Xenopus tropicalis: one gene and its partner. The protein of the gene in region 2 purifies or fractionates together with the protein of the main gene of each other region. This does not show direct contact. Links are inferred from orthologs where the notes say so. Each region holds a gene or a part of one and is shown on either strand. Other genes may lie near its edges.

Evidence for each region.
Region 1: the proteins of wdr20 (region 2) and fbxw5 purify together in Homo sapiens (co-immunoprecipitation; 3 studies listed by BioGRID and IntAct, counting the BioPlex papers as one, with this or other methods). This does not show direct contact. The link is inferred for Xenopus tropicalis from reciprocal best matches to the Homo sapiens genes WDR20 and FBXW5.

The regions. Positions count from the first base shown.
Region 1 is NC_030684.2:2,781,025-2,797,489, forward strand, and holds the start of fbxw5 (F-box/WD repeat-containing protein 5), read right to left. Parts: upstream 9,652-16,465; coding exon 9,643-9,651; intron 3,581-9,642; exon of another isoform or gene 3,557-3,580; coding exon of another isoform or gene 3,554-3,556; intron 3,553-3,553; coding exon of another isoform or gene 3,550-3,552; coding exon 3,364-3,549; intron 2,925-3,363; coding exon 2,921-2,924; intron 323-2,920; coding exon of another isoform or gene 320-322; coding exon 162-319; intron 1-161. Other genes in the region: c8g (complement component C8 gamma chain), read left to right, coding at 9,697-9,884, 11,178-11,505, 12,441-12,592, 12,822-12,892, 13,928-14,035, 14,144-14,245, 14,382-14,420, 14,516-14,529. UniProt on the Homo sapiens protein: Substrate recognition component of both SCF (SKP1-CUL1-F-box protein) and DCX (DDB1-CUL4-X-box) E3 ubiquitin-protein ligase complexes.
Region 2 is NC_030684.2:97,486,561-97,503,012, reverse strand, and holds the end of wdr20 (WD repeat-containing protein 20), read right to left. Parts: intron 11,556-16,452; coding exon 11,373-11,555; intron 9,504-11,372; coding exon 8,211-9,503; 3' UTR 7,677-8,210; downstream 1-7,676. UniProt on the Homo sapiens protein: Regulator of deubiquitinating complexes. Activates deubiquitinating activity of complexes containing USP12. Anchors at the base of the ubiquitin-contacting loop of USP12 and remotely modulates the catalytic center of the enzyme.

The DNA of each region.
Region 1 (16,465 bases), about 95 Mb from region 2:
TCATCAGCCAATCAGAAAGTGCGAGTAAATAACCCCCAACTGCCTTATTAAATTACATATTTTATCAGGGTACAGAAGGGGCATGGCCGAGGGGCCAATCAGAATCACTGGGGGGCAGGCTTGGCCCATACGGGCTCCTGGGGGACTCCCCCCCCCCTTACCTTAATGGTACAGTCCTTGGAGCAGGAAGCAAACAGGTCCCCTGAGTGGGAGAAGCTGATGTGCAGCACTTGGTCCCCGTGTTCCCGTAACCTCTGCGCCTCCACCCGCGGCACCGCGTCACACACCCGCTGGAACTCCTCGTACCAGGACTCCGCCCCTACACACAGGAAAGGGAGGAGCCATTACACACTGCACACAGCAGCCCCATTGGGTACCATGGGAAAGAGAGCAGCCCAGGAGCAGGAAGTACAGAGAATCAGAGCTCTGTACCTGGGTAAGTACTGGGGGGAGATTGGATTCACTTACCCAGGGGGAGGTTCCTGTCTGACCATGGGAAAGAGAGCAGCCCAGGAGCAGGAAGTACAGAGAATCAGAGCTCTGTACCTGGGTAAGTACTGGGGGGAGATTGGATTCACTTACCCAGGGGGAGGTTCCTGTCTGACCATGGGAAAGAGAGCAGCCCAGGAGCAGGAAGTACAGAGAATCAGAGCTCTGTACCTGGGTAAGTACTGGGGGGAGATTGGATTCACTTACCCAGGGGGAGGTTCCTGCCTGACCATGGGAAAGAGAGCAGCCCAGGAGCAGGAAGTACAGAGAATCAGAGCTCTGTACCTGGGTAAGTACTGGGGGGAGATTGGATTCACTTACCGGGGGGGGGGGGGTCTTGGACCATGGGAAAGAGAGCAGCCCAGGAGCAGGAAGTACAGAGAATCAGAGCTCTGTACCTGGTAAGTACTGGGGGGAGATTGGATTCACTTACCCAGGGGAGGTTCCTGCCTGACCATGGGAAAGAGAGCAGCCCAGGAGCAGGAAGTACAGAGAATCAGAGCTCTGTACCTGGGTAAGTACATGGGGGGAGATTGGATTCACTTACCCAGTGGGGGGTTCCTGCTGCTGACCATAGGAAAGAGAGCAGCCCAGGAGCAGGAAGTACAGAGAATCAGAGCTCTGTACCTGGTTAAGTACTGGGGGAGATTGGATTCACTTACCCAGGGGGGGTTTCCTGCCTGACCATAGGAAAGAGAGCAGCCCAGGAGCAGGAAGTACAGAGAATCAGAGCTCTGTTACCTGGTTAAGTACTGGGGGGAGATTGGATTCACTTACCCAGGGGGGTTCCTGCCTGACCATGGGAAAGAGAGCAGCCCAGGAGCAGGAAGTACAGAGAATCAGAGCTCTGTACCTGGTAAGTACTGGGGGGAGATTGGATTCACTTACCCAGGGGGGTTCCTGTGCTGTAACCATAGGAAAGAGACGCAGCCCAGGAGCAGGAAGTACAGAGAATCAGAGCTCTGTACCTGGCGTAAGTACTGGGGGGAGATTGGATTCACTTACCCAGGGGGGGTTCCTGCCTGACCATGGGAAAGAGAGCAGCCCAGGAGCAGAAGTACAGAGAATCAGAGCTCTGTACCTGGTAAGTACTGGGGGGAGATTGGATTCACTTACCCAGGGGGAGGTCCGCCTGACTCATGGGAAAGAAGAGCCAGTCCCAGGAAGCAAGGAAGTACAGAGGATATCAGAGCTCTGTACTGCCGGTAGTACCTGGGGGAGAACTTGGATTCACGTTACCCAGGGGGATGTTCCTGTCTGACCATGGAAAGAAGCAGCCCTAGGACAGCAGGAAGTACAGAGACAGTCAGAGCTCCTGTATGTTCCGCCCTGAGGTATAGTACTGGGGGTGGGATAGGATTCACTTACCCAGGGGACGTCGTCCTGTCCAGCTGACCTAGGGGGAGCAGCCCAGGAGCAGGAAGACAGAAATCAGAGCGTCTTGTACTGGGTAGTCAATAGGGAGGAAGATGATTTCAACCTTACCCAGGGGGGGCGGTTCCTGCCTGGACCATGGGAAAGTGGAGAGCAGCCAGGAGCAGAAGTTACCAGAGAATCAGAGCTCTGTACCTCGGGTAAGTCTGGGGGAGATTGGATTCACTTACCCGGGGGGGTTCCTGCCTGACCTATGGCGAATGAGAGCAGTGAACCCAGCGACGCAGGCAGACGTTACTACGGAACAGAATCAACAGCTCTCGTCACCTAGAGCCTTATATGACTGGGAGATTGGACTTCACCGTTACACCAGCGGCGGCACCGGTTCCTGCGCTGACCATGCGGAAGAAGAAGAGCAGCCAGGAGCAGGAAGTACAGAGGAATCAGAGCTCGTGTACCTGGTAAGTCACTATGGCTGGATTGGATTCACTTACCCCAGGGGGGGAGGTTCCTGTCTGACCATGGAAGATGAGCAGCCAGGAGCAGAAGTACAGAGAATCAGAGCTCTGTACGGGTAATACTAGGGGATTGGAATTCACTTACCCAGGTGGGGGAGCGCTTCCAAGTCTGTACCATGGGAAGAGAAGCAGCCCAGAGCGAGGAAGTACAGAGAATCAGAGCTCTGTACCTGGGGTAAAGTACTAGGGCGGGTTTGGACTATATCACTTACCCAGGGGGGGACCGCGGTTCCTGTCTGCCACTGGAAGAGAGCAGCCAGGAGCAGGAAGTTACGGGAGAATCAGAGCTCTGTACCTGGCGTTAAGCTACTGGGGGGAGATATTCGGATTCACTTACCCAGGGGAGGTTCCTGCCTGACCAGGGGAACGAGAGCAGCCCAGGAGCAGGAAGTACAGAGAAATCAGAGCTCTTGTACCTGGGGTAAGTACTGGGGGGAGATTGGATTCACTTTACCCAGGGGGAGGTCCATGCCTGACCATGGAAAGATGAAAGCAGACCCAGGAGCAGAGATAGTTACAAGAGAATCAGAGCTCTGTACCTGGCTAAGTACGATGGGTTGAGATTGGTCATTCACCTACCCAGGGGGGGGTTCCTGTCTGACCATGGAAGAGAAGCAGCCCGAGGAGCAGGGAAAGAGTACAGAGCAATCAGAGCTCTGTAACTCTGGTAGTACTGGGAGGGGGGGATTGGATTCACTTACCCACGGGGGAGGTTCCCTGCCTGACCATGGGAAAAGAGCAGAGCCCCAGGAGCAGGAAGTACAGAGAATCAGACGCTCTTGTACTGGGTAAGTACTGGGGGTTGGGATTGGATTCACTACCAGGGGAGGTTCCTGCCTGGGACCATGGGAAAGAGGAGCGCGCCCAGCAGCAGGAAGTACAGAGAATCAGAGTTCTCCTACCTGGTAAGACTGGGGGCGGAGATTGGATCTCTTACAGGAGGAGGATGAGCAGCCCAGTCGGCAGGAAGAAGGGCACTGACCTTGTGGATCCGGAGGATGTCGCGATGCACCCGGAAGTGTCGGTAGAAAAGCTCCTTCCACAGGAAATCATCTCGGGAGACTCTGTACCAGCGCCGACAGACCAGTCCGGCTGAGGAGATCGGAAGGCAACGGCCTCTGAAGATCTGGTACAGAATGCTGTCTGGTAAGCTGGGAAGGTCCAATCGCTCGCATTGTGTTCATTTCTGTTACCCCCTGGCGGCCCCTGCCCAACGGAGGTACATGGTCATGGGGGGGGGTCACTTACATCATGTTCATGTATAAGCACTGGGAGAACACGATGAAAGGGGTAGTACAGGGAACTGCCTCCCAGTAAGGGGCTGGTGGGGACTATTACAGAGAGGCGTAAGATACAGGAACGGTACCCTCCCAGTAGGGGCGGTGGGACTGATAACAGAGAGGGGGGTAGATACAGGGAAGGGCCTCCCACGTAGGGCGTTGGGACTGATACAGAGAGGGGGATAGATAAAGGGGAAGCGGTCCAAGAGGGGCGGTTGGGACTGATACAGAGAGGGTGGTAGATACAGGGAAGGGCCTCCAGTAGGCCGGCGGTGGGACTGATACAGAGAGGGGGGTAGATGACAGGAACGGGCCTCCAGTAGGGCAGGTGGGACTGATACAGAGAGGGGGGTAGATACAGGGAACGGCTCCCTAGGTGGTGGGAACTGATAACAGAGAGGGGGAACAGATACAGGAACGGCCTCCCAGTAGGGGCAGGTGGGATGATACAGAGAGGGGGGGTAGAGACAGGAACGGCCTCCCAGTAGCGGCGACTGATTACAGAGCGGGGGTAGATACAGGAACGCCTCCCAGTAGGGGCGGTGGACTGATACAGAGAGGGGTTTAGATACAGGAAGGGCCTCCCAGTAGGGGCGGTGGGGACTGATACAGAGAGGGGGGTAGATACAGGAAGGGCCTTCCAGTGGGGCGGTGGGACTATACAGAGAGGGGCAGATACAGGGAAGGGGCCTCCCTAGTAGGGGCGGTGGGACTGATACAGAGGGGGGGTAGATACAGGAACGGCCTCCCAGTTAGGGGCGTGTGGACTGATACAGAGAGGGGGACAGATACAGGGAATGGCCCCCCAGTAGGGCGTGGATCTGATAACAGAGAGGGGGAGATACATGGAACGGCCTCCCAGTAGGGTTGGTAGGGCCGACTGATACAGACGGAGGGGGATAGATACAGGGAACGGCCCCCAGTAGGGGCAGTGGGCTGATACAGAGGGGGGTAGATACATGGAACGGCCTCCCAGTAGGGGCGGTGGGACTGATACAGAAGGGGGGTACGGATACAGGGAACGGCCCCCCAGTAGGGTTGGTAGGGCTGATACAGAGGAGGGGGTAGATACAGGGAACGGCCTCCCAGTAGGGGCGGTGGGACTGATACAGAGAGGGGGTAGATACAGGGAAGGGCCTCCCAGTAGGGGCGGTGGGACTGATACAGAAAGGGGGGACAGATACAGGGAACGGACCCCCCCAGTAGGGGCGGTGGGACTGATACAGAGAGGGACAGATACAGGGAACGGCCTCCCAGTAGGGGCGGTGGGACTGATACAGAGAGCGGGGGGTAGATACAGGGACACGGCCTCCCAGTAGGGGCGGTGGACTGATACAGAGAGGGGGGTGGATACAGGAACGGCCTCCCAGTAGGCGATGGGACTGATACAGAGAGGTCGCAGATACAGGGAACGGCCCTCCCAGTAGGGGCGGTGGGACTGATACAGAGAGGGGGTAGATACAGGGAAGGGCCCTCCCAGTAGGGTTGTAGGGCTGATACAGAGAGGGGGGTAGATACAGGGAACGGCCTCCCAGTAGGGGCGTGTGGGACTGATACAGAGAGGGGGGGTAGATACAGGGAACGGCCTCCCAGTAGGGGGCGGTGACTGATACAGAGAGGGGGTAGATTACAGGGAACGGCTCCAGTAGGGGCTGGTGGGACTGATACAGAGAGGGGACAGATACAGGGAACGGCCTCCAGTAGGGGCGGTGGGACTGATACAGAGAGGGGGTAGATACAGGAACAGCCTCCCAGTAGGGCGGTGGGACTGATACAGAGAGGGGAGATACAGGGAACGGCCTCCCAGTAGGGTTGGTGGGACTGATACAGAGAGGGGGGTAGATACAGGGAACGGCCTCCAGTAGGGTTGGTGGACTGATACAGAGAGGGGACAGATACAGGGAACGGCCTCCCAGTAGGGGCGGTGGGACTGATACAGAGAGGGGGGGAAGAACAGGAAAGGCCTCCCAGTAGGGGTGGGGGGACTGATACAGAGAGGGGGGTAGATACAGGGGAAGGGCCTCCCAGTAGGGTTGGTAGGGCTGATACAGAGAGGGGGGTAGATACAGGAGGAACGGCCCCCAGTAGGGGCGGTGGGACTGATACAGAGAGGGGGGTAGATACAGGGAATGGCTCCCCAGTAGGGCGGTGGGACTGATACAGAGAGGGGGTTAGATACAGGAACGGCCTCCAGTAGGCGGCGAGGGACTGATACAGAGAGGGGGTAGATACAGGGAAGGCCTCCCAGTAGGGGCGGTGGACTGATACAGAGAGGGGGCTAGATACAGGGAACGGCCCCCCAGTAGGGGCGGTGGGACTGATACAGAGAGGGGGGTAGATACTGGGAAAGGGCCTCCCAGTAGGGGCGGTGGACTGATACAGAGAGGGGGGTAGATACAGGGAACGGCCTCCCAGTAGGGGCGGTGGGACTGATACAGAGAGGGGTGGTAGATACAGGGAACGGGCTCCCAGTATGGGCGGTAGAGGACCTCGATACAGAGAGCTGGGGTTAGATACAGGGAACGGCCTCCCAGTAGGGGCGTTATGGGACTGATACAGAGAGGGGGTAGATACAGGGAACGGCGCCTCCCAGTAGGCGGTGGGACTGATACAGAGAGGGGGGTAGATACAGGAACGGCCTCCCAGTAGGGTGGTGCGGACTGATACAGAGAGGGGGGAGATACAGGGAACAGAGTTAGGTGGTGGACGATACCCAGAGAGGGGACAGATACAGGGAACGGGCCTCCCAGTAGGGTTGGTGGTGGACTGATACAGAGAGGGGGACAGATACAGGGAACGGCCTCCCAGTAGGGGCGGTGGACTGATACAGAGAGGGGGGTAGATACAGGGAACGGCTCCTCCAGTAGGGTGGTGGGACTGATACAGACGAGGGGTAGATACAGGGAACGTCCCCCCCAGTAGGTTGGTGGGACTCGATACAGAGAGGGGGGTAGATACAGGGAACGGCTCCCCAGTAGGGGCGGTGGGACTGATACAGAGAGGGGAACAGATACAGGGAAACGCGACCTCCCAGTAGGGGGTGGGACTGACTACAGAGAGGGTAGATACAGGGAACGGCCTCCCAGTAGGGCGGTCTGGGGACTGAATACAGAGAGGGGGGTAGATACAGGGAAACAGCCCCCCAGCGCCGGCGGGTATGGACTGATACAGAGAGGGGGGTAGATACAGGGAACGGGCCTCCCAGTAGGGCGGTGGACTGATACAGAGACGGGGGACAGATACAGGAACGGCGCTCCCAGTAGGGGCCGGTGGGACTGATACAGAAGGGGTAAGATACAGGGAAACGTGCCTCCCCAGTAGGGCGGTGAGGACTGATACAGATGAGGGGGTAGATACAGGGAACGGCTCCCAGTAGGGTTGGTGGGACTGATACAGAGAGGGGGGTAGATACAGGGGAACGGCCTCCCAGTAGGGTTGGTGGGACTTGATACAGAGCAGCGGGGGGGTAGAACATGGAAGGTCCTCCCAGTAGGGTTGGTGGGCTGATACAGAGAGGGGGTAGATACAGGGAACGGCCTCCAGTAGGGCGGTGGGACTGATACAGAGCAGGGGGGTAGATACAGGGAAGGCCCTCCCAGTAGGAGTTGGTGGATCCTATACAGAGAGGGGGGAGATACAGGGAACGGCCCCCCACGTAGGTGTGACTGATACAGAGGAGGGGTCAGATACAGGAACGGGCCCCCAGTTAGGGGCGTGGGACTGATACACGAGGGGGGGGTAGAACAGGGAACGCGCCTCCCAGTAGGGGCGGTGGGACTGATACAGAGAGGGGGTAGATACAGGGAACGGCCTCCCAGTGGCGGGTGGGACTGATACAGCAGCAGGGGTAAGATTACCAGGAACGGGCCTCCCAGTAGGGTTGGTGGGACTCGCATAAACGAGGAGGGGGTAGATACAGGGAACGGCCTCCCAGTAGGGTTGGTGGACTGATACAGAGAGGGGGTAGATACAGGGAACGGCCTCCCAGTAGGGGCGGTGGGGACTGATACGAGAGGGGGGTAGATACAGGAACGGCCTCCCAGTAGGTGGTTGGGGAGATCTGATACAAGAGGGGGGTAGATACAGGGAACGGCCTCCCAGAGGTTGTGGGACTGATACCAGCAGAGGGGGGATAGATACAGGGACGGCCTCCCAGTAGGCGGCGTGGGACTGATACAGAAGAGGGGGTAGAACAGGGAACGGCCCCCCAGTAGGGCGGTGGGACTTGATACAGAGCAGGGGGGATTACCCCTCCAGTAGGGGCGGTCGGACTGATACAGAGAGGGGATACAGGAACGGCCTCCCAGTTAGGGTTGGTTGGGAACTTGATACACAGAGAGGGGGTAGATACAGGGAAGGCCCTCCCTAGTAGGGTTGGTGCGGACTGCATACAGAGAGGGGGGTAGATACAGGAACGGCCCCCAGTAGGTGGGTGGGACTGACTTACAGAGAGGGGGTGAGATATCAGGAACGGCCATCCCCAGAAGGCGCGGGGGACTGAAAGGGTATCAGGGAACGGGCCAGAGGGGGGTGGATGATACAAGGGGGGATACGGAACGGCCTCCCCAGTAGGGGCGGTGGGAGCTGATACAGAGAGGGGGTAGAGTACAGGGAACGGACCCCCCGTAGGGGCGATGGGACTGATACAGAGAGGGGGTAGATACAGGGAACGCCCTCCCAGTAGGCGGCCGGTGGGGGACTGATTACAGAGAGGGGACAGATACACGGGACGGCCCTCCCTAGTTAGGGGCGCGGGGGACTGATACAGAGGGGGGGTAGATACAGGTAACGCCTCCCAGTAGGGGCGGCTGGGACTGATACAGAGAGGGGGTAGATACAGGGGAACGCCTCCCAGTAGGGCGATGGGACTGATACAGAGAGGGGTACAATACAGGAACGGCCTCCCAGTAGGGTTGGTGGGACTGATACAGAGAGGGGGGGTAGATACAGGGAACGGCCTCCCAGTAGGGTTGGTGGGACTGATACAGAGAGGGGACAGATACAGGGAACGGCCTCCCAGTAGGGGGCGGTGGGACTGATACAGAGAGGGGGGTAGATACAGGGAACGGCCCTCCCAGTAGGGGCGGTGGGACTGATACAGAGAGGGGGGTAGATACAGGGAAGGGCCTCCCAGTAGGGCGATGGGACTGATACAGAGAAGGGGGGTAGATACAGGGAACGGCCTCCCAGTAGGGTTGGTGGGACTGATACAGAGAGGGGGGGTAGATACAGGAACGGCCTCCCAGTAGGGGCGGTGGGACTGATACAGAGAGGGGGTAGATACAGGGAACGGCCTCCCAGTAGGGGCGGTGGGACTGATACAGAGAGGGGACAGATACAGGGAACGGCCTCCCAGTAGGGTTGGTGGGACTGATACAGAGAGGGGGTAGATACAGGAACGGCCTCCAGTAGGGTGGTGGGACTGATACAGAGAGGGGACAGATACAGGGGGGGACAGATACAGGACGGCCCTCCCAGTAGGGCGGTGGGACTGATACAAGAGGGGGGTAGATACAGGGAACGGCCCTCCCAGTAGGGCGGTGGGACTGATTACAGAGAGGGGGGTAGATACAGGGAACGGCCTCCCAGTAGGGGCGGTGGGGCTGATACAGAGAGGGGTAGATACAGGGAACGGCCTCCCAGTAGGGGCGGTGGGACTGATACAGAGAGGGGGGTAGATACAGGGAACGGCCTCCCAGTAGGGGCGGTGGGAACTGATACAGAGAGGGGGGTAAGATACAGGGAACGGCCTCCCAGTAGGGGCTGGGGACTTGATACAGAGAGGGGGGTAGATACAGGGAACGGCCTCCCAGTAGGGGCGGTGGGACTGATACAGAGAGGGGGGTAGATACAGGGAACGGCCTCCCAGTAGGGGCGGTGGGACTGATACAGAGAGGGGGGTAGATACAGGGAAGGGCCTCCCAGCAGAGGGCGGAGCTAATGAAGGAATACGCAGCTCAGACAGATATATTTAGACAGACAGTTCCCATGATGCCCCGCTGATTACTAGTTGCTCCCGGCTGGGCGCTGCGCCTATGGGTGCCGGTATAGGGACACACCGAGTATTACTCAGCGGACTGAGTGCGGGGGACACTCCGGCTCCGGTAGCAGCTGAGGGCAGAACTCACCTTCACTTCCGCATCTTCCCAGCCCGGCTATCCCGGCCCTCCCGCAGCTCTATGATCTCAATGTCGCTCTGCCCCTTGCTTCTTAAGCCTCTATGGTGCGGGGACCTCCTGGATCGGTTCTCTGTGTTTCTCTCTGTCCCAGGGAGTTGGGGGGCATTGGGGCCTGTTGGGGGGGCACAGAACTGCAAACTGCCCCCAGCTCAACATCAATTCTTCCCCAAATAATATAATGGGAGACCCTGTCCCAAGGGGCTTACACTCTAGTGGTATAATGGGAGGCCCTGTCCCAAGGAGCTTACACTCTAGTGGTATAATGTGAGACCATGTCCCATGGAGCTTACACTCTAGTGGTATAATGGGAGGCCCTGTCCCAAGGGGCTTACACTCTAGTGGTATAATGGGAGGCCCTGTCCCAAGGGGCTTACACTCTAGTGGTATAATGGGAGGCCCTGCCCCAAGGAGCTTACACTCTAGTGGTATAATGGGAAACCCTGCCCCAAGGAGCTTGCACTCTAGTGGTATAATGGGAGGCCCTGTCCCAAGGAGCTTACACTCTAGTGGTATAATGGGAGGCCCTGCCCCAAGGAGCTTACACTCTAGTGGTATAATGGGAGGCCCTGTCCCAAGGAGCTTACACTCTAGTGGTATAATGGGAGGCCTTGTCCCAAGGAGCTTACACTCTAGTGGTATAATGGGAGGCCCTGTCCCAAGGAGCTTACACTCTAGTGGTATAATGGGAGGCCCTGCCCCAAGGAGCTTACACTCTAGTGGTATAATGGGAGACCCTGCCCCAAGGAGCTTACACTCTAGTGGTATAATGGGAGGCCCTGCCCCAAGGAGCTTACACTCTAGTGGTATAATGGGAGGCCCTGCCCCAAGGAGCTTACACTCTAGTGGTATAATGGGAGGCCCTTGAGAACCTGAAGGGGGGGCACGAGGGCCCAAATAATATTCCCTCGGACCAACATTTAATAAATGGTAATTCCTCCAAATTCCATGGCAACCATGAAAGGGGAAGTACAAAGGTTACAGGGGGGCGAAGTTAGAAAAAAACTGGTTTAATTGCCCTTTATAACGAGCAACTAATGAGAGCGGTTTGGCTTCAGTAGGAAAATGAGCCCCTTCTGTAGTTTTACCCCCCCCCCCCCCATCTGGGTGCCACAGGGTTCCCATTGTTTGCAAATAGGGTGCCCAGGGCTACGGGCTGGGGTGGGGTTGTTTATCTTGGCCCTCAGAGTTACATTGTTTGCTAATAGGGTGCCCAGGGCTGGGGGTCGGGGGGGGGGGTGTTGTTTATCTTTTCCCTCAGAGTTACTATTGTTTGCAAATGCCCATTGTATTCATTAGTAGGATTGGAGCAGGGGATGCTGGGAATTGTAGTCTCACAGTGGGGGTGTATTTACAGTACAGAGGGGGATATCTGGGGGCACCGGCACTGAGCAAACAACCCCAGTCACTTCCAGTTACAGAGATTTCCCAACCTCCCAGCAGCCAGTGCGGCGGGGTCTGGGCTCCGACTGTCAGTCTCCTCTGGGACACACTGCGAGCAGAACCCTCCTCAGCATGGGGCATCTACTGGGGCAACTAGGGGCAACACTGGCCTCTCTACTGCTGCTCCTCTCTGCCCCTACTGCCCTGGGGCAAAGGCAGAAGAAACCACCTCCCCCCAGTCCCATAGACAATATCCAGGCTGTGGGCAACTTTGATCCAAACCGGGTAAGTACACCCAGAGTATTATTGGGGTGGGGGGTAATATAAAGGGGCGTCTGGTAGTGTAATGGGGGGGGGGAGAAGGATCTTACTAGCGCCTTCTATGTTGTACTATCTAATGGGAAACACTATGGCACCTCCTACCCATATGTATAAATACAAATATACAGAGAGGGAATGTTCTGGGCACACAATAAGCTGTACCCCCATACTGTACTGTCTAAGGGAAACACTATGGCACCCCCTACCCATATGTATAAATACAAATATACAGAGAAGGAATGTTCTGGGCACACAATAAGCTGTACCCCCATACTGTACTGTCTAAGGGAAACACTATGGCACCTCCCTCCCATATGTATAAATACAAATATACAGAGAGGGAATGTTCTGGGCACACAATAAGCTGTACCCCCATACTGTACTGTCTAAGGGAAACACTATGGCACCTCCTACCCATATGTATAAATACAAATATACAGAGAAGGAATGTTCTGGGCACACAATAAGCTGTACCCCCATACTGTACTGTCTAAGGGAAACACTATGGCACCTCCTACCCATATGTATAAATACAAATATACAGAGAAGGAATGTTCTGGGCACACAATAAGCTGTACCCCCATACTGTACTGTCTAAGGGAAACACTATGGCACCCCCTACCCATATGTATAAATACAAATATACAGAGAGGGAATGTTCTGGGCACACAATAAGCTGTACCCCCATACTGTACTGTCTAAGGGAAACACTATGGCACCCCCTACCCATATGTATAAATACAAATATACAGAGAAGGAATGTTCTGGGCACACAATAAGCTGTACCCCCATACTGTACTGTCTAAGGGAAACACTATGGCACCTCCTACCCATATGTATAAATACAAATATACAGAGAGGGAATGCTCTGGGCACACAATAATCCCTCAATGGCTCAGTTTGCAGGGAAGTGGTTTCTCCTGTCCGTGGCTTCTGAATGTAATTACCTGAAGCTGAACAATCACCGGGTTGAGGCCACCATTGCCCAAGTGACCGCCTCCAAGAAGCCCAAAGTGGGGGACACACTGACTGTGAGCACCTTCCGAAAACTGTAAGTGAATTGTGGGGGAGGAGCCAGGGAGAAACCTGTATTTAGAATCAATAGGGGGCGCCGTTTTGAAACCTGTTCATAAGTTGGTTTTTAGAAAGACGGAGCTGTTGACTGAAACTGGGCGCATATAGCGGGGGCCTATCAGAATGCAGATAGATTTGGATGTAACCAATCAGGATGGAATTAGATACTTTATATTCCCTAAATATTTCACTTGCTCTTTTCTCAGGGACGGAATCTGCTGGGAGATTAAACAGGAATATAGGGAGAACAAGCAGAAAGGGCGGTTCCTCTTACTGGGTAAGTGAATCCAATCTCCCCCAGTACTTACCCAGGTACAGAGCTCTGATTCTCTGTACTTCCTGCTCCTGGGCTGCTCTCTTTCCCATGGTCAGGCAGGAACCTCCCCCTGGGTAAGTGAATCCAATCTCCCCCCAGTACTTACCCAGGTACAGAGCTCTGATTCTCTGTACTTCCTGCTCCTGGGCTGCTCTCTTTCCATGGTCAGGCAGGAACCCCCCCCTGGGTAAGTGAATCCAATCTCCCCCAGTACTTACCCAGGTACAGAGCTCTGATTCTCTGTACTTCCTGCTCCTGGCTGCTCTCTTTCCCATGTCAGACAGGAACCCCCCCCCCATGGGTAAGTGAATCCAATCTCCCCCCAGTACTTACCCAGGTACAGAGCTCTGATTCTCTGTACTTCCTGCTCCTGGGCTGCTCTCTTTCCCATGGTCAGACAGGAACCCCCCCCCCATGGGTAAGTGAATCCAATCTCCCCCCCAGTACTTACCCAGGTACAGAGCTCTGATTCTCTGTACTTCCTGCTCCTGGGCTGCTCTCTTTCCCATGGTCAGACAGGAACCTCCCCCTGGGTAAGTGAATCCAATCTCCCCCAGTACTTACCCAGGTACAGAGCTCTGATTCTCTGTACTTCCTGCTCCTGGGCTGCTCTCTTTCCCATGGTCAGGCAGGAACCCCCCCTGGGTAAGTGAATCCAATCTCCCCCCAGTACTTACCCAGGTACAGAGCTCTGATTCTCTGTTCTTTCTGCTCCTGGGCTGCTCTCTTTCCCATGGTCAGGCAGGAACCCCCCCCTGGGTAAGTGAATCCAATCTCCCCCCAGTACTTACCCAGGTACAGAGCTCTGATTCTCTGTACTTCCTGCTCCTGGGCTGCTCTCTTTCCCATGGTCAGGCAGGAACCTCCCCCTGGGTAAGTGAATCCAATCTCCCCCAGTACTTACCCAGGTACAGAGCTCTGATTCTCTGTACTTCCTGCTCCTGGGCTGCTCTCCTTCCCATGGTCACTCAGTACCGGTTGTGTTCATACCCACAGGGCGGGGCTCCAAGGGGCCAATCGATATGGTTGTGGGGGACACGGATTACGAGAGCTACGCGATACTGTTCTATCAGAGACAGAGGAAGCTGAGTATGAAGCTGTACGGTGAGTATGGGGGGCAGATACACTCGTGGGGGGGGCAGTAGGCATTTAGTCAGGGTATATTGGTGCTTGTGGGCTGATTCCCACCCACCTCCTTTCTTTACGTCTCAGGGCGGAAGACGCAGTTGAACAACAACATTTTCACCAGGTTTGAGGCGCTGGCGGGTAAGCAGGAGCTGGGCCTGGAGTCCCTGTACCCCTTCCCTGCATACGGTGAGTAAGCCACAAAGCGCTGATGTCCTGCTGCAAACGGGGCAGTGACCGTGAGTCTGATTGACAGCTCCGTGGCCCAATGTACAAGCCCAGTGCTGCCGGTTCTGATTCTGCTCCCCTATTTCTCTCCATTCAGGTTTCTGTGAGTCGGCCGATCAGTTCCACATCCTCGATGGTAAGATTCACCCCGTTGCTATGTGACAACTGCCCGGCTCCCCCACATTATCAGGGTCTCCTTCCTGTACTTACCCTTTCCCTTTCCTGTTACAGAGGCTCCCAAGTGACCCGTTACCTGTGGGAAAATACTCAGCCTGGAGGGGACTTCCTGCCCTGCGGCACCGACTGGCACCCACACCGACTGGCACCCACACCGACTGGCACCCACATATGGAACCACCATGTATCCCCTGTATCCAATAAAATATCCTCTGTCCCCAGAACATTCCTTCTCTGTATATTTGAATTTATACATATGGGTAGGGGGTGCCATAGTGTTTCCCTTAGACAGTACAGTATGGGGGTACAGCTTACTGTGTGCCCAGAACATTCCCTCTCTGTATATTTGTATTTATACATATGGGTAGGGGGTGCCATAGTGTTTCCCTTAGACAGTACAGTATGGGGGTACAGCTTATTGTGTGCCCAGAACATTCCTTCTCTGTATATTTGTATTTATACATATGGGTAGGGGGGTGCCATAGTGTTTCCCTTAGACAGTACAGTATGGGGGTACAGCTTACTGTGTGCCCAGAACATTCCCTCTCTGTATATTTGTATTTATACATATGGGTAGGGGGTGCCATAGTGTTTCCCTTAGACAGTACAGTATGGGGGTACAGCTTACTGTGTGCCCAGAACATTCCCTCTCTGTATATTTGTATTTATACATATGGGTAGGGGGTGCCATAGTGTTTCCCTTAGACAGTACAGTATGGGGGTACAGCTTATTGTGTGCCCAGAACATTCCCTCTCTGTATATTTGTATTTATACATATGGGTAGGGGGTGCCATAGTGTTTCCCTTAGACAGTACAGTATGGGGGTACAGCTTATTGTGTGCCCAGAACATCCCTCTCTGTATATTTGTATTTATACATATGGGTAGGGGGTGCCATAGTGTTTCCCTTAGACAGTACAGTATGGGGGTACAGCTTATTGTGTGCCCAGAACATTCCCTCTCTGTATATTTGTATTTATACATATGGGTAGGGGGTGCCATAGTGTTTCCCTTAGACAGTACAGTATGGGGATACAGCTTATTGTGTGCCCAGAACATTCCTTCTCTGTATATTTGTATTTATACATATGGGTAGGGGGTGCCATAGTGTTTCCCTTAGACAGTACAGTATGGGGGGTACAGCTTATTGTGTGCCCAGAACATTCCCTCTCTGTATATTTGTATTTATACATATGGGTAGGGGGTGCCATAGTGTTTCCCTTAGACAGTACAGTATGGGGGTACAGCTTATTGTGTGCCCAGAACATTCCTTCTCTGTATATTTGTATTTATACATATGGGTAGGGGGTGCCATAGTGTTTCCCTTAGACAGTACAGTATGGGGGTACAGCTTATTGTGTGCCCAGAACATTCCCTCTCTGTATATTTGTATTATACATATGGGTAGGGGGTGCCATAGTGTTTCCCTTAGACAGTACAGTATGGGGGTACAGCTTATTGTGTGCCCAGAACATTCCTTCTCTGTATATTTGTATTTATACATATGGGTAGGGGGTGCCATAGTGTTTCCCTCAGACAGTACAGTATGGGGGTACAGCTTATTGTGTGCCCAGAACATTCCCTCTCTGTATATTTGTATTTATACATATGGGTAGGAGGTGCCATAGTGTTTCCCTCAGACAGTACAGTATGGGGGTACAGCTTATTGTGTGCCCAGAACATTCCTTCTCTGTATATTTGTATTTATACATATGGGTAGGAGGTGCCATAGTGTTTCCCTTAGACAGTACAGTATGGGGGTACAGCTTATTGTGTGCCCAGAACATTCCTTCTCTGTATATTTGTATTTATACATATGGGTAGGGGGTGCCATAGTGTTTCCCTTAGACAGTACAGTATGGGGGTACAGCTTATTGTGTGCCCAGAACATTCCTTCTCTGTATATTTGTATTTATACATATGGGTAGGGGGTGCCATAGTGTTTCCCTTAGACAGTACAGTATGGGGGTACAGCTTATTGTGTGCCCAGAACATTCCCTCTCT
Region 2 (16,452 bases):
CAAGTGCCCACTTGTGGGCAGGGCACAGTTCTAGGTGGCATATCATATTTAAATGGACAGTTAAAATAAAGAAAGTAAATGTCTGGTTGCAATGAGTGTATGGCCTTGGTCAGGTTATGCCCAATCACTTTGTCACTACACCAGTAAGGTGCACCCTTGATTATTATAGGACAAGGCCTTACCTTAAGCAAACAAAATGGCAGCACCACTATGCTATAAATATTATATTATATATAGATGCTTACGCACAGTGAAGCAAAATTCCTTGCATGAAATGACATCTTGTGTCATTATGGTCTTTTTCATTACACTGCTCTTTAAGTAGCTGCCATAGATCAAATTGAAAGCCCTCTATTATAGCTGTGGTTACACTGTTGTGGCAAATGCACAAAAGCTCTGTAACACAGTGTGGGAAACTCTTATATTCTAATTGCATCACTGTGGTAAAATCAAAACAAGCCACCCAGTAAGGGCATTTGCTTTGTCCATAATATAACTAACAATTTTAATGCAACACCTCGTGTGAATTAAAGGGATAGTATACACCACTTTTTATGCACAAGCTCAATAAACAGGGCATGTGCTGAACATACTTTTAGTCTATTGTTTTTATTTAAAAAATATCTAAGTTTCTGTTTTTTCCAGCACTAGAAATTAATATGAAGCCATGTTAGCACTTCCAGTCCAAAGAACTTCAAAAGAGCTGATAAAACTAATTACCAGTCCACTGAAAAGCCCCTGATAATGAGCCGCTTAAAGGCTGCTTAGAGAAGGGAGGGGTTGGTTTGTTTGTTTAGAGGGGGAGCTCTGAATAAAATGGCCAGCAAGTGTTTAAATTAGTGCTTTATAATGGCAAAACAAGGAAACTAGTTTTTTTTTTGTTTTGTTTTTCAGCAAAGGTGTTTTGGGTGTATCCTTTCAAATCACTAACTTTTCTTGCAGTGCCCTAGCCAGCAATTTATACTGCCTTCGGTCTATGGCATACAAGTCTAATCCTGTGTGCCCACATTTATACTGTATGCATTGTAACAGAATTGAATGTGATCCTCCTGTCAATAAGAACACAGGGTGGGATTCAGCCAGAATAAACTTTTTCATTTTGTGGCTAAAATGCACCCTGGGCGAGTATTAACAATAGATCCCATTCATTGATCTTACTATGCATGCAAGAGAAAACACAGTAGGACTAGGTGCTGCTGTTATCTTACCTGCATTAAGCAGGGATCCTTTGCACCCAACTCGTATTCCGCAGGCATGGATGAGTCAAATTGGAAATTACACTGAGCACACGCAAGTCAAGTTAGGCACAAGGATACCCTGGGAAGATGCCAGTTCTTCGACAGAAAGAATCTCAGCCCAAGGCAGGGCCGCTGCTGCCATGAGGAGAGTTAAGAAACTTGTCTTGGGCAGCAGGTGCCTTGAAGTTACCAGGGGTGGCTAAAGAGCCAAAAATTCAGTTTTACGTCGTAACTTCTGTTGCAGAGAGTGCTATTCATTCCCTGCATTAGCAACGTGCCTGCCCCTGGCCACCTACAATGCAAAAAGCCTAGGAGCAGAGGGGCGGCATTTCCTACGCCACCCAGGGTAGCACTAGGGGCCAAAATATTCCTGGCCCAAGGAAAAGGATTTTATTCCCTGGCGGGTGCCTATAAAACTGGTATCACTCCCAGTAATAGGCTTTCCTTGTGCTTTAATATTGCAAACACAATGCAGAAAGTAGAAATACAATGGCTAAAATGATCTTTATAAAGACAAAGACCATTAAAGACCTTGCCAGGCGGTGGGCAGATCGGGCTGAACACATGGAAAGCCTGTGTAGACGCCTTGGGTGAGCAACATTTCCAGCACAATCACTATCTGACTAAGCCTCAAAATCATGTGGGGATCATATTGGCCACAAAGTAGGGCAAATGCGCATACAAGCCCACTTAGTCCATAAACAGGATTTTCAGTTTATGGCCATCTTTACAGCCTGTTTGCTACTCTGGCTTTACTCTTTCAAAATATATATGTTAGTGTGTGGTTATGCATGAGGCGTAGCCCGTTAAATACTACTGTTCTTCCCAAGAACCATCAATATTATTATAAAAGGCCTCTTTGGGGAAAAATAAACATGCAATCATACAGGTTTTGTAACTCGTTTTAAGAGCAAGGGAATATTTCTGTGTTAGACTGCTGTCCTACATTTCATGTGAGAGGATTTGCCTTTATAAGGATATTTTAGGTCAGCACACTATAATTATCTATATAGTACAGTGGTTTAAGCTGCCACCAATAAAAAAAGAACTGAGTGGGATACATCCCGAAAAAGCTTGAGTGTTTGATACATACGATGCATCAGTAAGAGATAGAAATATTACTTCCGATCTTCTATGTGCAAGTATGATTAAGATTTAAATTAATGCTGAATATACAAACCCAACCTTTATAGTATTATTGCCTGTTTACTGTGCATCAGTCTTATTTCATGGCATGTTTACCAGATATTGGTTGGGTGGCTGTCTGATTGCCCCCATACATGAGCCAATAAGTGGAAAAGTTAGAAACGAACACTGGCCTGTGTATGGCTATAGGTAAGCTAAGACAGTTTCAACCAAGTTTGTTACATCATTACAGTACACAAACACTAGCCAAGGCCAAAATAGGGAACTAAAGACCAACACTAAAAAGGCTACACCTTGTGTTTTGATCAAATCTACCAACCACCACAGCCCTTTAGCAGTATAGATCCGTGAGTATGAATTAAGCCGGCCATACACGCACCAATGATATCGTATGACACCTCATTTCGTGCAATATTTGGTGCGTGTATGGTAGATCGACAAGACAACCGATATCACAAAGGCTGCGGATATCAATCGTCTCACTGATCGGTGCCCATTGAAGGCACCCAAACAAAATCTGCGTTCAAGGCTGAATCGGGAGGTGGAGGTAGAATTCCTATTATTTCAACCTCCATATCAGACGATTCAGCCCTGAACGTCAGTGGGGGAAAACAAAGATCTTTCTTGCGACTGTCGGTCACAGGAAAGATCAAAATTGCTACGTGTATGGCCACCTTAAGCCCCCAATAGCACCCAAATTTCTTTTGCTGATTCCCAGCACATGGTGTTAGTTATCCGAGCTTACACTTTTACAATACAGTGCACCAGAATTGATCAGTAATCAGTCTTGGGGCATCAGCTTATATGATAAATGTAACGTCACCTTCTACAAATGTGCTGAAGATTCTAAAGCACACAGAGTGCAATCGCTCTTAGCTGAGTGTTGCATAAACAGCAGCAGCAATTTGTATAGCAATTGATTTGTTGGTTTCTCAGCTTGAAACAAAAGCTACATGCTAATCACAGAAATGCCATTATACAAAGAGAGAACTTGGGTTAACAGCACCCTAAGGAGGCAACTAGCCAAGTCCTAACTTGACAGAGTGGTATGTTCCACTGAATAGATATAAGGCTTTATAAACATGACAGTTAAAATCCACATTAGCATGCTGGGATCACAAAATATTTTAAGTGAGATCCAACAGATAGTTTATATCTTACTAAGTAGTCTATTAAAGAATCTTACCAAACTGGAATATATATATTAGTCAATAAATATTGGCATCTTATATCTTTTCCCTTGATCCACTACTTTGTGATGGTCCGTGTGCTCCCTCAGAGACAGGAAATAATACAGCTCTAACTGTAACAGGAAGTAGTGTGGGAGTAAAGGACAGAACTCTGTCCATTCATTGGCTGATGTGGCCTAGCATGTATGTGTGCCCTTGGTTTGTCTGTGTGCACCATGAATAGTATAATCTCAGGGGCAGCCCTTAATTTTTAAAATGATAATTTTCAAGATCCCCCAATAGCACATACTACTAATAAAGCTGCAACTTTCCCTTGTGGCAAAGTTCTGCTTCAGGACATGTTACTGTGTTTTGTCTTTTAGCATAAATTAACGTTCAAGTGGACAACTAAGTGAACCCCTATGTTAATATCATTACTTGGGTCTGTACACAATTCCAAGGCTTTATTAAATGAAGGATGGCCCGGGCCAGGTAGAGCAGCTAGTTCTGTGTTGCTGCCTGAATGTTTGCATTATAAGTGCAGCATGTGAAGAAGGGCAGAAGCCTGGGTTAGGGATTGAGGAGATAAATGGGAGGAGTCAGGATGTTCCTCCGCTTGTTTATGTAAGTTACATGTTAGGCAAAAATTGTGCTAGTTTTAACTCTGATTTTTTATTTTACTTAACTCAGTTGCCATTTTTGTTTCAGCTCAAGGAATGGGTTTGTGATTTTTAAAACAAATGCACTGATGTCTCTAAGTCTTGCTCTGAAGGTGCTGCAACGCCCAACTCATCCTGAATGCTGAGAATACATTTATTTAAAATAAATAGCACTTCTACTTATATGAATGCTTAGGGTTACAGAGTGAATTGATTGTTCATCCAGTAGCTGGATGTTAAAAGAATATGGTTTAAGATATTACATTCACTGTTAAATTGAGTTTCAGTAGAAAGGCCTTAGCAACTTTCCTACTGATCTTCATGTTCTATGTTTACTTATTTCACCAATATATCTCTTTAAAGAATAATATTGGAAATACTAACTTCGTGGACCCCAACAACCACAAAAAAAAACAAAATCAAAACAAAAAAAACACTATTTGTGAGGCTACACTTAGTTTTTTTTATTGATACTTTTTATTGCGTATCCTTCTGTATAGGCTCTTGTCATTCCGACTATAGGAACAAAATGTTATATCATTTGAAAAAATATAAAAGACCCCTTGCAAATTGTTTAAGAGCTCCATTTTGAAATAGTTACTGTTGCTTCCATATAACTAGTGAATGGCTGTTGCACAACACTGGGAGATTATAGACCACCAAGCAAAGTCTAGGGGAAAACCAGATATATAGATGGCGTTGAGTTTTTTTCCAAGAAAATTCTGGGAATCAAATAGGTTTAGGACAATAACAGATCCGGGCATTTTGTCACCCACAATTAAATCTGGCTACAGCGGCCAACAAAACATCCCTTGTTCCCTCTCCACCGGCTAACATGCAAAATGCTGCTGGACAAACATGTGGCACAAAACATCCCATTTGTCATTGCCCTTACATCTGTCATAATAGCTGATGATACAGGGCTGATTAGTGATGAATTCTGATGAAGAATACACTGGTTTTTATGCCAAAATGTAATTTAAATATGAACTTACTGCTAATCAAACTTGTGTTGTGAATTTTAATGTTGTGCAAGGAATCAGCAGAAAAGAAGATGGGGGGCTACTGGGGGCATCTTTGGAGGCGCAGATCTTCCCTGCTAAAGGGCTGTGGTTGCCTTGGGCTGGTACAGAAGGTTAAAAATATGGTGTAAAAAGTCTTCATTAATTCTTTGCCGAGCTTTAGCTCTCCTTTAAACTTATTGTCTTTTCTAATTAAGTCAACTAGAAGATAGACAGACATACAACAGGCACTGCACAAAATCCTCTTACATGAATTGTAACATTATCATGTACAAAAGAAAAATATTTGCAATATTAACATACGCAACTGGTGGGTTAATAACTGCTGCTATTCTCACTACCTGCTGCTACAGTATAAAGTCTGCTATACTGGAGTACAAAGAAAATGTTCCCCCTATAAAAAGGCATTATTAAATACATTATTAACACATTGGTGAATAAGGTTACTTGCTTCATATTCTAGAATGACTGCACTTGGCCACAGATGCTGAGGGTACTGTCACACAAGCACTGCACTCCAAAATGTGAGCATATATTAGTCTAAAATATATGTTAAAATGTGTTGTGTTTTTGTGAACAAAAAAAAAAGTGCAAATGAAAAGAAAGCTAATGAAAAAAAACACACTTACCTGCAAATGATTATACAATGAGAAAACTACCTGGGCGCCATTTTTGGTACTGCATACTCATCTCTCAGAAACATTTGAAATTTTATTTTCTTGCTAGAATTATATTTATACATACAAATTAGGACTAATTTGCCAACAGAATAAAAAAAGTCCAAAAATAACTAGAAGAGTAAGCCAAATGTGGTTTTCTGATTTCCTACAAAAGCAGCCCAACTTGACTTGCAATTTACTATTGTTCATTTTGAGTGAACTCACTGGGGAAAAGGAGACCGGCTGACTTGTCTGTGGAAAGATGCTATGTCCTGCAAGACAGGCTAACTTGTCAGTGAGAGACACTCTGTCCTGCTTTATATTTAACCCTAGAACTTATTTAACATCCAGACACTTGCTAAAGGTGTGTTTAATCCATGTCCGTGCCTAGCTGTGATGGTGTAAGTGCAAACAGTTAATATAAATAATAGTTAAAGATGAATGCAAGCTTCTCTGGACATGGTCTTTTAAATCACCTAACATATGAGATTTTAGGCCTTGTTAAAAACATTAAATAAACCTGTGTAGGAGCGGACTTAGATCAGTCCAATCTAATATGATGAATATGGATTTTTTTTCCACTCAAGTGACACAAAAGTAAAGTTAAAAAGCAAACAGAGCCAAAAAGCAGACATGCACAGCTTGGCAGCTTACTGACTTGTCTATAGGGCAATAATAGATAAAGAAAAAGAAAGAAATCAAGGTAACCTTATTTACAAAAAAATACAGCTACTACTGAAACAGTGTTCTATTTGTTTAAAAACTGTATAGTGTAGTAATCAACAGTGCAGATGGGGAAAAAGGGCTTCATTTGTACAGAATCCAGGCAGGACAGAAAATATTCTTCCCTTACTGTTGTAAAGGAAAAATATTCTCTTTCCTACCTGGACACCTACATACTGAGAAATAACACTAACGACATATCTGAACATACAAATACTGTCGTTTGCAACAGATTTGTGTAGCAGTGTGAGCCGCTGCAAAACAAGCAATGTAACCAATAAGATCACACTATATCCAAACAGATGAGTGGGAAATCAGGGTGGTTGATAAAGGTCATTTATGTTTTGCCAATATTCAATGCCCTGATAACCTCTGCTGCCTGTGGCTCCCCTGCATATTCATTTTCCCTATATAAAGGGTGAGTTTATGAGTTTACCAAGGGAGGGAATATAAAGAAACCATGGTCCATTGTAAACATTAAAAAATAAATAAATAAAATTATGGCATTATTGTTAAGACACATTTATAGGCTTTAGCTTCCAAGGAAAGCAGTATTCTTTATATAAAGTAGTGCAGTGTGCCTTTGAGTGAGCGTCAGTTCTGCTAGTTAGTGATATACTTTCTTATGCAACACCATAAAAATTAGGGGAGAATTTGTAAAGAAACGTTCCAAGCTGGCAAATGAGCCTTAAAATGTTTAATAATTCACCAGTAGGGATTTTTTTTTTTTTTTTTAAGATAAAAGCCTGGGACAATGAGCAGCAGTAAGAACATCTAGCTAAACAGCACAGCCCAACAAAATTGACACAACTACAGGCTATGCTACAACCAAATGGCATTAATATGGCTTTGTGTTAGTTTGTTGTTGTGAATTGACCCCTTTCATGAAGAACCATATATATTTTGAGCAATTTGTTATCTTAAAAAGGTGATCAGATTGACATTCCACCAACCGTACAGACCCACCGTCAAAGCAGTCAATGTCTACTAAAAACTTTAGTTCGGTATATCGGTTGTATGTATTGTAAGAAAGAGTTACACATGGAGAATACTAAAGAAATCAAGGTAACCTTTTTATTTACAGAAATACAGATCTTATTAGCTTAATAGAATAAATTTATGTCCATGTTTAGACCTTCTCTAGAATGATTCAATATGGATACAAATACATTAACAAGTGCTTTAATTTCCATGTACGTGAAGGGGCCCACAACCCGTTCCATGCTCAGCCCACCTCTTTGCTAATTCTGACATTACAATTCAGTTGGCCGACACCAAATTTACCTGCACATTTTTCCATTTTTTTGTGGGAAAGCGCATATTTAATATTTTACAGTGTACAGTGCTTCTGGTAAAGGAATTCTCTCTTTGGTTGGCACAATACTCTTTGTAATTACATGTACTTATTTTTTTACTCCCCCAAGTACGGTATACTGTGGCAAAATTTCAAATGATTCAAAACAGTATGACATGCAGTAACCAAAATATGTCTCAAAAGGGAAAAAAACAAAACAAGTATTTCTACATTGAATGGAAATAAAAAGTCAGTTTCCCAGAATAATTAGCTACTCAGGTTCTAAATCTTGACGCAGTGTTAAGGATTAAAACTTACCACTTTACCAGGCCTTGCCCATGTGCAAATAAATCCTTCCTGACAAGCAGTGACTATACAGTCTTCAAGAAAAATAAGCACAGTTAGTCTTTCATGTGCTATCTTTTTACAGATAAGAGGCTCTAACAAAGGGACATCTTCCATCCTGGGGCAAAGAGGGGTTCCCAAAGTTTTAGCCGGGTCCGTTTTATTTTTTGTAACTAGGTTCAGTTTATCACTGCTCTTGCTAGATATATGTCCCATACTGTGGTTTCTCTTGTGGTCTTTGTCATGTCTTTCCTTGCGATCATGGAGGGACAGAGTTGCAAACTTGCTGACACCAGATGCTATGGCACTATCCACACTGCTTTTACTGCCTGCGTTAGACACTGCAGAATGAGGAAGGCTGTTGGACCTAGGAAGAGGAGGAGGAATGGAGTTGCCTGGGGTTGTGATACTGTTGCCATTGCTTCCTGGGTTTGGCCCACCACTTCCTGCAGGTGGACTTGTGGCATTCATGACATTTGTGTGTGTTCTTGTCCTTGAAAGTGGCTGATGAGGAAAAAGGATGTCTTCTGTAAGGTCCCATAAACACAGCTGGGTATCTTGGCCTACTGAGCCAAATCTATAGGTTACACTAACAGGACGACTGTCTGTAGAGTTCCTTTTCGATAATCTTGACTGTGTACTGTTTGCTCTATCTCTACCAAAGCTTATCAGTTCCTGAAAATCTTCATCACTCCCACTAAACTCCATTGGGTCTGTCTCTTCTACACTAGTGGTATTAGGGTCAAATGCAACAACACTGACCCAAGATTTGTGTCCCTGACCTCTGGCTATAACTCGGCAGTCCACAAATGACCAAACAGTTACCAAGTCATCCTCTCCACCTGTTACAATATATTTGCCATCAGGACTCCAACACACACACAGCAGTCCACCAAAGTAGCTTTTCATTGTACCATGCAACTCTACCGAGTCAAAGTTAAATACACGAAGAAAGCCATCTTGGCTCACACAGGCTAAGAATTTCCCATCTGGGGAAAAAGCAAATTCATTTAGGGCACCCTCGCCAACAGTCCATTTCAGTAGAGGGTTTCGTGTGGACTTGCTCTTGCATGTGTGGACTGCAAAACTTTCACCTTGCTTAAGTAACTGGTAATGTGGAGCAGTGGTTCCACATGTATGCTCCACATTATACAAATACATATTTCCACTGGAATGGGCTACTAGAAAGAGGCTTTCCGAGCCTGGAACCCATTTTACAGAGGTTACTCTGGACTTGTCTATTAGTCTCTGTTAAAGACAAAATAAAAGATGCAAAAATCAGTGTTAAGAAGAGCTCAGGCAAGATAAGCTACAAGAAAGTACAAACAAGTCAAGATCATGTTTTAAATTGCATTCAGAGGACAATTCATACACCTAACATGTTACATTTTTTATTTTTAGATTTGCCTCTGAATCAAATGAATAGTCCTCAACTGTCCTGCTTTGGTAATGGCTAAATGACCAGTTGTAAGATTATCAGTAGCATAATTCTCAGACAAGATATTTCTCTAAATGTAAGGGTGACAGATTCCCTGGCAACTGTATGTAGGCACTGGAGAGCTTCACATTGCCTCCACTAATGATACTGAGATATCGCTAGAGTAATGGCACACGGGGTAATTCTATGTGCCTCCATTCATGCACCCAATTAATCTAGGAATGAATGGGGGCATTTCCGAGTCACCCATGCACTGAGCAACAAAAAGACCAAATGTTCCTAATGACCCTGTGTGCCACTACACTTAAGCAAAGCATGAATAACTGAATAAAGCGCTAAAATTCAAATAAAATAACCAGTGTTTTTAAATATTTACATTTTAAAACAAGCACACCTTAATTTTGATAGAAATAAACATTATATAAAAAAAAAATAAACAGTTGTTAGGTTGCATTGCCTCAAACTGCATATTTCACCTCTTCAAAATATCTCTCGTATACACTCACCTAAAGGTTTATTAGGAACACCTGTTCAATTTATCATTAATGCAATTATCTAATCAACCAATCACATGGCAGTTGCTTCAATGCATTTAGGGGTGTGGTCCTGGTCAAGACAATCTCCTGAACTCCAAACGGAATGTCAGAATGGGAAAGAAAGGTGATTTAAGCAATTTTGAGCGTGTCATGGTTGTTGGTGCCAAACGGGCCAGTCTGAGTATTTCACAATCTGCTCAGTTTCTGGGATTTTCACGCACAACCATTTCTAGGGTTTACAAAGAATGGTGTGAAAAGGGAAAAACATCCAGTATGCGGCAGTCCTGTGGGCGAAAATGCCTTGTTGATGCTAGAGGTCAGAGAAGGGTATTAGTATGGTGTTCCTAATAATCCTTTAGGTGAGTGTATATTTTCGACTTGAAAGGTGTCAAGTGCCCCCAATAATTGCCCTATCCTGAAAACCATTTGTTATTTTGAATGCTTTATAAGAAAATACCTGTTAAACTCGGCTTCCTGTCATTTGAACAAAGGCGATACGGCATGAAGTCAGGCTAGGCTCGATCAATCGATCGCCGCATAGTTGATGCATCTCCTGATACTTCCCCTGCATCGCCATATCGCCTTTGTTCAAATGACAGGAAGCCAAGTTTTTTTACAGGTATTTTCTACTAAAGCATTCAAAATAATAAATGGTTTTCAGGATAGGGCAATTATTGGGGGAGGGTAGAATAGATTTTTTAGTTAAAAATTTTTAGTGTTACTTTTCCTTTAATCTGTGACAGAGCTCTAAATGATTCCTGACCCACAAGGCCCCTGGATGAACAAGCAGATCATTATGGGGGTGCCAACAGGGGCACAAATATATTCCTCTCACGATTTTCTAAACTTCACAAAAAGATATCCACCAGATTATCGCCCAGATATCAGTCAGGCTGGAAACATGCCCAGGCTACTAATATTTGGGTTGGCCCATGCATGACAAGCAATCATGTTTTGGAATTCCTGACTTCAGTCAGCTCGACTGAAAAAATAATAGCAACAATAGAACTAGAATTCATAAGAAAACACACACAAAACTAAGAAACAAAACTTTTTCTATTGCATTCGAAAGTGTTTTACTTTCCGGCCAATATTTCAGCATAAGCTGCAACCCCCTGATATATATGCAGTTTTTAAACCCACCTCTTCATTAAATAACTTGCTTGTTTCCTTTTTGATTGGGTCTATAAGTTGGACCTGGCCAGCAGAGAACCCCACAAGAAGAGAAACGCTGTCAGCTGTAGCTGTGAGGTGGTTGAAGTCATGACACGTGGGTTGTGTCCCTTTGTATATTCTCTTGTCTATGGGCTTGCTTAGATCCGCTGCCTGTTGGGAAGAGAAGAAAGAACATGAAACAAGAACCGCTTCAATGACCAACAAAGAGATGAAGCAATCACTTAAACTGGATTACAACAGAGTTTACCTAAATGGTTCCCTTTGAAGTTAAAGTCACAATTAAACAACTGCTGTATCTTCTGCTGCCTATTAATTTGATTACAAATTCCTAGCAGAGCCCAAGAGTCTAATGAACCACATACACAAGAATTAACTGAGCTCAGAACTGCTTGTGCATGGGTGCCACCTGGAACAGAACTAGTTATTCTGACCAGACAATCTTTGGCTAATATGGTCAAGATGAGGACTTTGACACATGAACAGAGTACCCAGAGACTGATGAAAATATTCCTGATCGCAGGCTTTGTGATCCACTTGTTCTGCCAAGAAAATTCCCCCAGTACATAATCCTTGTACTTCAGGGTTGCTTAGAGGGCTCAATATCTAATAAAAACAGCAAGGTGAAAAATATGGACATCTATGCCTATGTTTACCTAATAAGATCATATGCCACAGATTTACAGGGTTTGACCTAACACAAAGGCCCTTACAGAGAAGAACAGATGTTTAATCCATTTTGTTAAATGTGGGCTACATTCAGATCTAGCTGCGCTCTTTCCATGCTAAGAGGCAATTCTGTAACATATTGTAATGTGGTTCAGCTTTACTACTGGCAATAATCTAATTAGCTAAGTGGCTATCCATGGGCATTGTGCCTTCGGCATGTAGATTTTATCCCTGTGCGTGCAGCCATATTTTAGAAATTCAGGCAATACTTTTGTTATCTATAGGAGGTATCACAGCATAGACAGATATCTGTGTCAAGTGCAGAAAAGCAGTAAACTAGACATGTTTTCAGCATTCTGGAATGGCTACCTAATTAAAGGGTTAAATAAACTTATTAAAATGTCAACAAAAATATTCTAAGACCAACTACAATTTGTGTTTTTCTTATTTGTAGTTGCCTTTATGCTCTGCTTCACTCTAAACTTACATAGAAAAAGCTGCCAGCAAAGTAATCAGAAAGGAGAGTCATTGTGAGGCTAGTCTAACAAGATAGCAGTTTAAATTCCATATTGGAGAAGCCATAAAAAAGCAAAATTAAAATATTTTATGTTAAAAAAAAGTAAAGGCCAATTGCTACCTGTCTAGAATACGGTTGCCTGCATATTCTACATGACACCTGTCTGCACCTACAGAGCTGCACTAAAAAAGTAGGTCAGAATCAGGGGAGAACAAGGCTATCAGACCAGATACCTTTGGTGACACGTATAACCCAGACAGCCATGCTCAAAAGTCATATTTTCTGTTTAACCATTTTATGGAACCCATCCCAACAAATTTTACCTATGTTGAAGCCAAAGAACAAACAAGTATTATACACTAAGACATTTTGCATTTTCTCCTGCCATGGAAAGCTTAAAAACAATAACATGATAAAAAGCAGATGATTTTACCCTCTTTATTCTATAAATGAACTCCAAACAAATAAGTGCAAGATAAAATGACTTTGCATTTCAATTATTGCAGCTTAAGCTAGTATGCTGAATAGACTGCCAAGGTCACTCTAATAGCACGTGGGTATTGCTATGGAAATCAACCCACAAGGAAAGGAGGGAGGGGGGAAATAAGTTATAACTGGTATAAAGGTAACATTAATAGTTAGTACTCTGCTTCTTTTGTAAATATTTTATTTAAGGACACTAAAGTTCCTATAAGAGAAGAAAACTGCAGAAATCAAAAAGCTTAAGACAAACGGCAACTATAAAAGTGTGTGGAGATTAGAGCTGGGCGGTATGACCAAAAATTTATATCACGGTATTTTTCAAAATTATATATCGGTGTCACGGTATTTGACGGTATTTTTTTTTCCATGCATGATTAGGTGTTAACCCCATTTCCTAATAAATTAGAGAATAATTACTGCAGTATTGAAAATCAGAGTCAGGCAAGCGAAGGATCGGCAACAGAAAGTCGTAAGGTAAATCAGGCAGGCTTAGTTTCCCCAGGCAAGGCCGCAGACAACATAACACAGGAGGAGTTATTGCGGTATCTGAAAAATGAATATAGTTTTTTAAAAAAACACCGGTATTCGGTATTAAACGGTATATCGCCCAGCCCTAGTAGAGATCTTCTGGAGATGATCACAGTGAAAACAATCCTTTGGTTTACAGCACACATGGCATTTTCTTTATGCCATGGGAAAAAGGCTAATCTGCCCCACACACGTGTGAAATAAGAGTTTGCAATATCTGCCCTATGTGTATTCATTGCTGTCCTAACATATATGAGACAGATGCAGAACAGATCAGCCTTTTCTCATCAGTTTTACACCGGCAATGACAAACCTTCCAAGTTTCTATACAAAAAATAAAACTAGGATAAATCAGGCTTTTAACCATAACTGCACTTCAAGTCAATGGTTACTATAATGTTGGCTTTATGATGATCCCATTTCATTTACATATGCAATTTTCCTAACATTTTTTTTTTCTCAAACAAATTGCATATTTTAAAGAGATGACATTCCAAATTTTAGAAGGAATGTGCCACTATGTTTATAAAAACCTACCCTGAGCAGACCACCCATTGCAAAAGTACCTTTCTGCCTCCCGAGCAGAGCTGCTGGGCTTTGGGGAATCATTTTTGCCTCACCCCCAAGCTTGGCATCCAGCTGGCCAGAAACTGGGGGGTACAGGGAAGCAGGGGATCCCCTTTGCAGTGAGCAGTTAGTGCTGAGTAGTAAATTGTACCTGTTAAAAACTAACTGAAATGTATCATTATCCCTTTAACTCTAATGATTTTTCAGAGCCCTAAAGCATTGGAACAAAATCAAATTTACCAGAAAAGGAACAACTACAAAAACATTTTTGCCCAGTGTAATGAAGCATGTCTACCACTGAATATCCGCATATTTGCTGTACTATTCAGTTAAATATTTTTAAGGTAAAAAATGAAAAAATAATATTTTAAATAATGCAGTTTAAGCATGGTTTTATTGTGGAGAAAAAAGCATTTGTTTTCTTTTTAAATCTATTTTAATTTTTCCAGGTCCCTAAACCTCCAAGTTAATGCCTCCAAGTAGTAAATATACAGAATAGGCAAGAGATGAAAATCCACTGAATGGTAATCCGATTGAAATCGGGGGGTAGGGCTATATGCATATTTACATGTGGCAATATACACAAAGAACAATAAAAAAAAAATAATTACACGCATTTACATATAACGTGCTTTTATCCTGCACTGCTAAAAAAATTGTGTTTGCTTCAGAACTCTACTATAGTTTATATAAATAAGCTGCTGTGTAGGGGCAGCCATTCAAATTGAATATAGCAAAAGGCTCATGCACAGAAAAGAGTAGTTTAAGGGCTCTGGCACACGGGGGAGATTAGTCGCCCGCGATAAAACTCCCTGTTCGCGGGCGACTAATCTCCCCGAGTTGCCTACCCCTGCCATCCCACCGGCGAACATGTAAGTCGCCGGCGGGATGGCAGACGCGGCGGGGCGATTTCCGGAAATCGCCGAAAAAAACTCGTGAGTCTTTTTCGGCGATTTGCGCAAAATCGCGCCCTAAGGGCTCTGGCACCCCTAAGGGCTCTGGCACACGGGGGAGATTAGTCGCCCGCAACAAAACTCCCTGTTCGCGGGCGACTAATCTCCCCGAGTTGCCATGACCCGCCATCCCGCCGGCGAACATGTAAGTCGCCGGCGGGATGGCACACGCGGCGGCGCGATTTCCCGAAATCGCCCCGCCGCGTCTGCCATCCCGCCGGCAACTTACATGTTCACCGGTGGGATGGCAGGGGTAGGCAACTCGGGGAGATTAGTGGCACCAGCCTGCACCCAAAGCATTGTGTCCACCCGGGTGCAGGCAGACAACAGCAAAAAAAAAAAAAAAGTCTGCATTTTACAGCCAATATCTGCCACGTATGCCTGCACCCAGGTGGAGATAATGCTTCTGGGTGCAGGCAAGGTAGCAGGCTGGTGCCAGCGGAGGGGCCGATTCTAGAGCTGCACAAAACGCAGGCCAAACATCTGCCCCCATGTGGCACTAGCCTAAACATAGGCCGAGAATCCGCCCCAACTCTTCAAAAATCTAACTGCTGTGCCTGCACCCAGAGGCATTGTGTTGGCCCAGCTACAGGCACACTAAGTGGCGCAAAACTGCTTATGCAAGGGCCTCCACAATGGCTACAGGTGCAGGCACAGCAATCAGGTCGTAGGCAAAGAATTCGCCCGCTGTGGCATTAGCCTAAGGTCAACGCTTGTGGCACAAGGGGCTATGCACTGGCATTTCTTCGCTGGTGTACCTGCATACAGGAAACACCGTGCTGATAGAGGAAGGAACAGATGAGAGTGCACTAGCTTTTCTGCTTGTGGAGAAAAAGCACGTGAAAAGAATACACAGCCCCATGTGCCATGTCACATGTGACAGCCAAAAGTGGTTGTCTCTCTGCCTGCATTTAAACTCAGAAAGAGAATCAGCCGGTCTTTCCTCATCTGCTCCTTCGTGTATCTGCACGGAGAGGCATGGCTGTGTGCAGGCACCATTTTCTGCAATGTATATCTGAACACAGGCAGATGAGAGTACCATCTGCATACAAACGGCCTTAGTTCTTAAAGTACATGTAAACCCTGAACAGCCTCTTTGAAATCTTTAAATACCTACCACTAAGGTTAGTAAAAAGGTAAAAAATAGTAAGGCTGCAGCATTCCCTTAATGGAGAAGGAAAGGTACAATCACTAGGGTTTGCCAAAATGTTAGGCACTCCCCAGTGATTGTAATCACTTACCTAAAACCTCGTGCTGGTGCTGCTGTTAGGAGAAAACTGCCCCAGCCTGGGGTAGCTGCGAGACAGCAATCCTCTTCCTTCTTCTGTCTTTG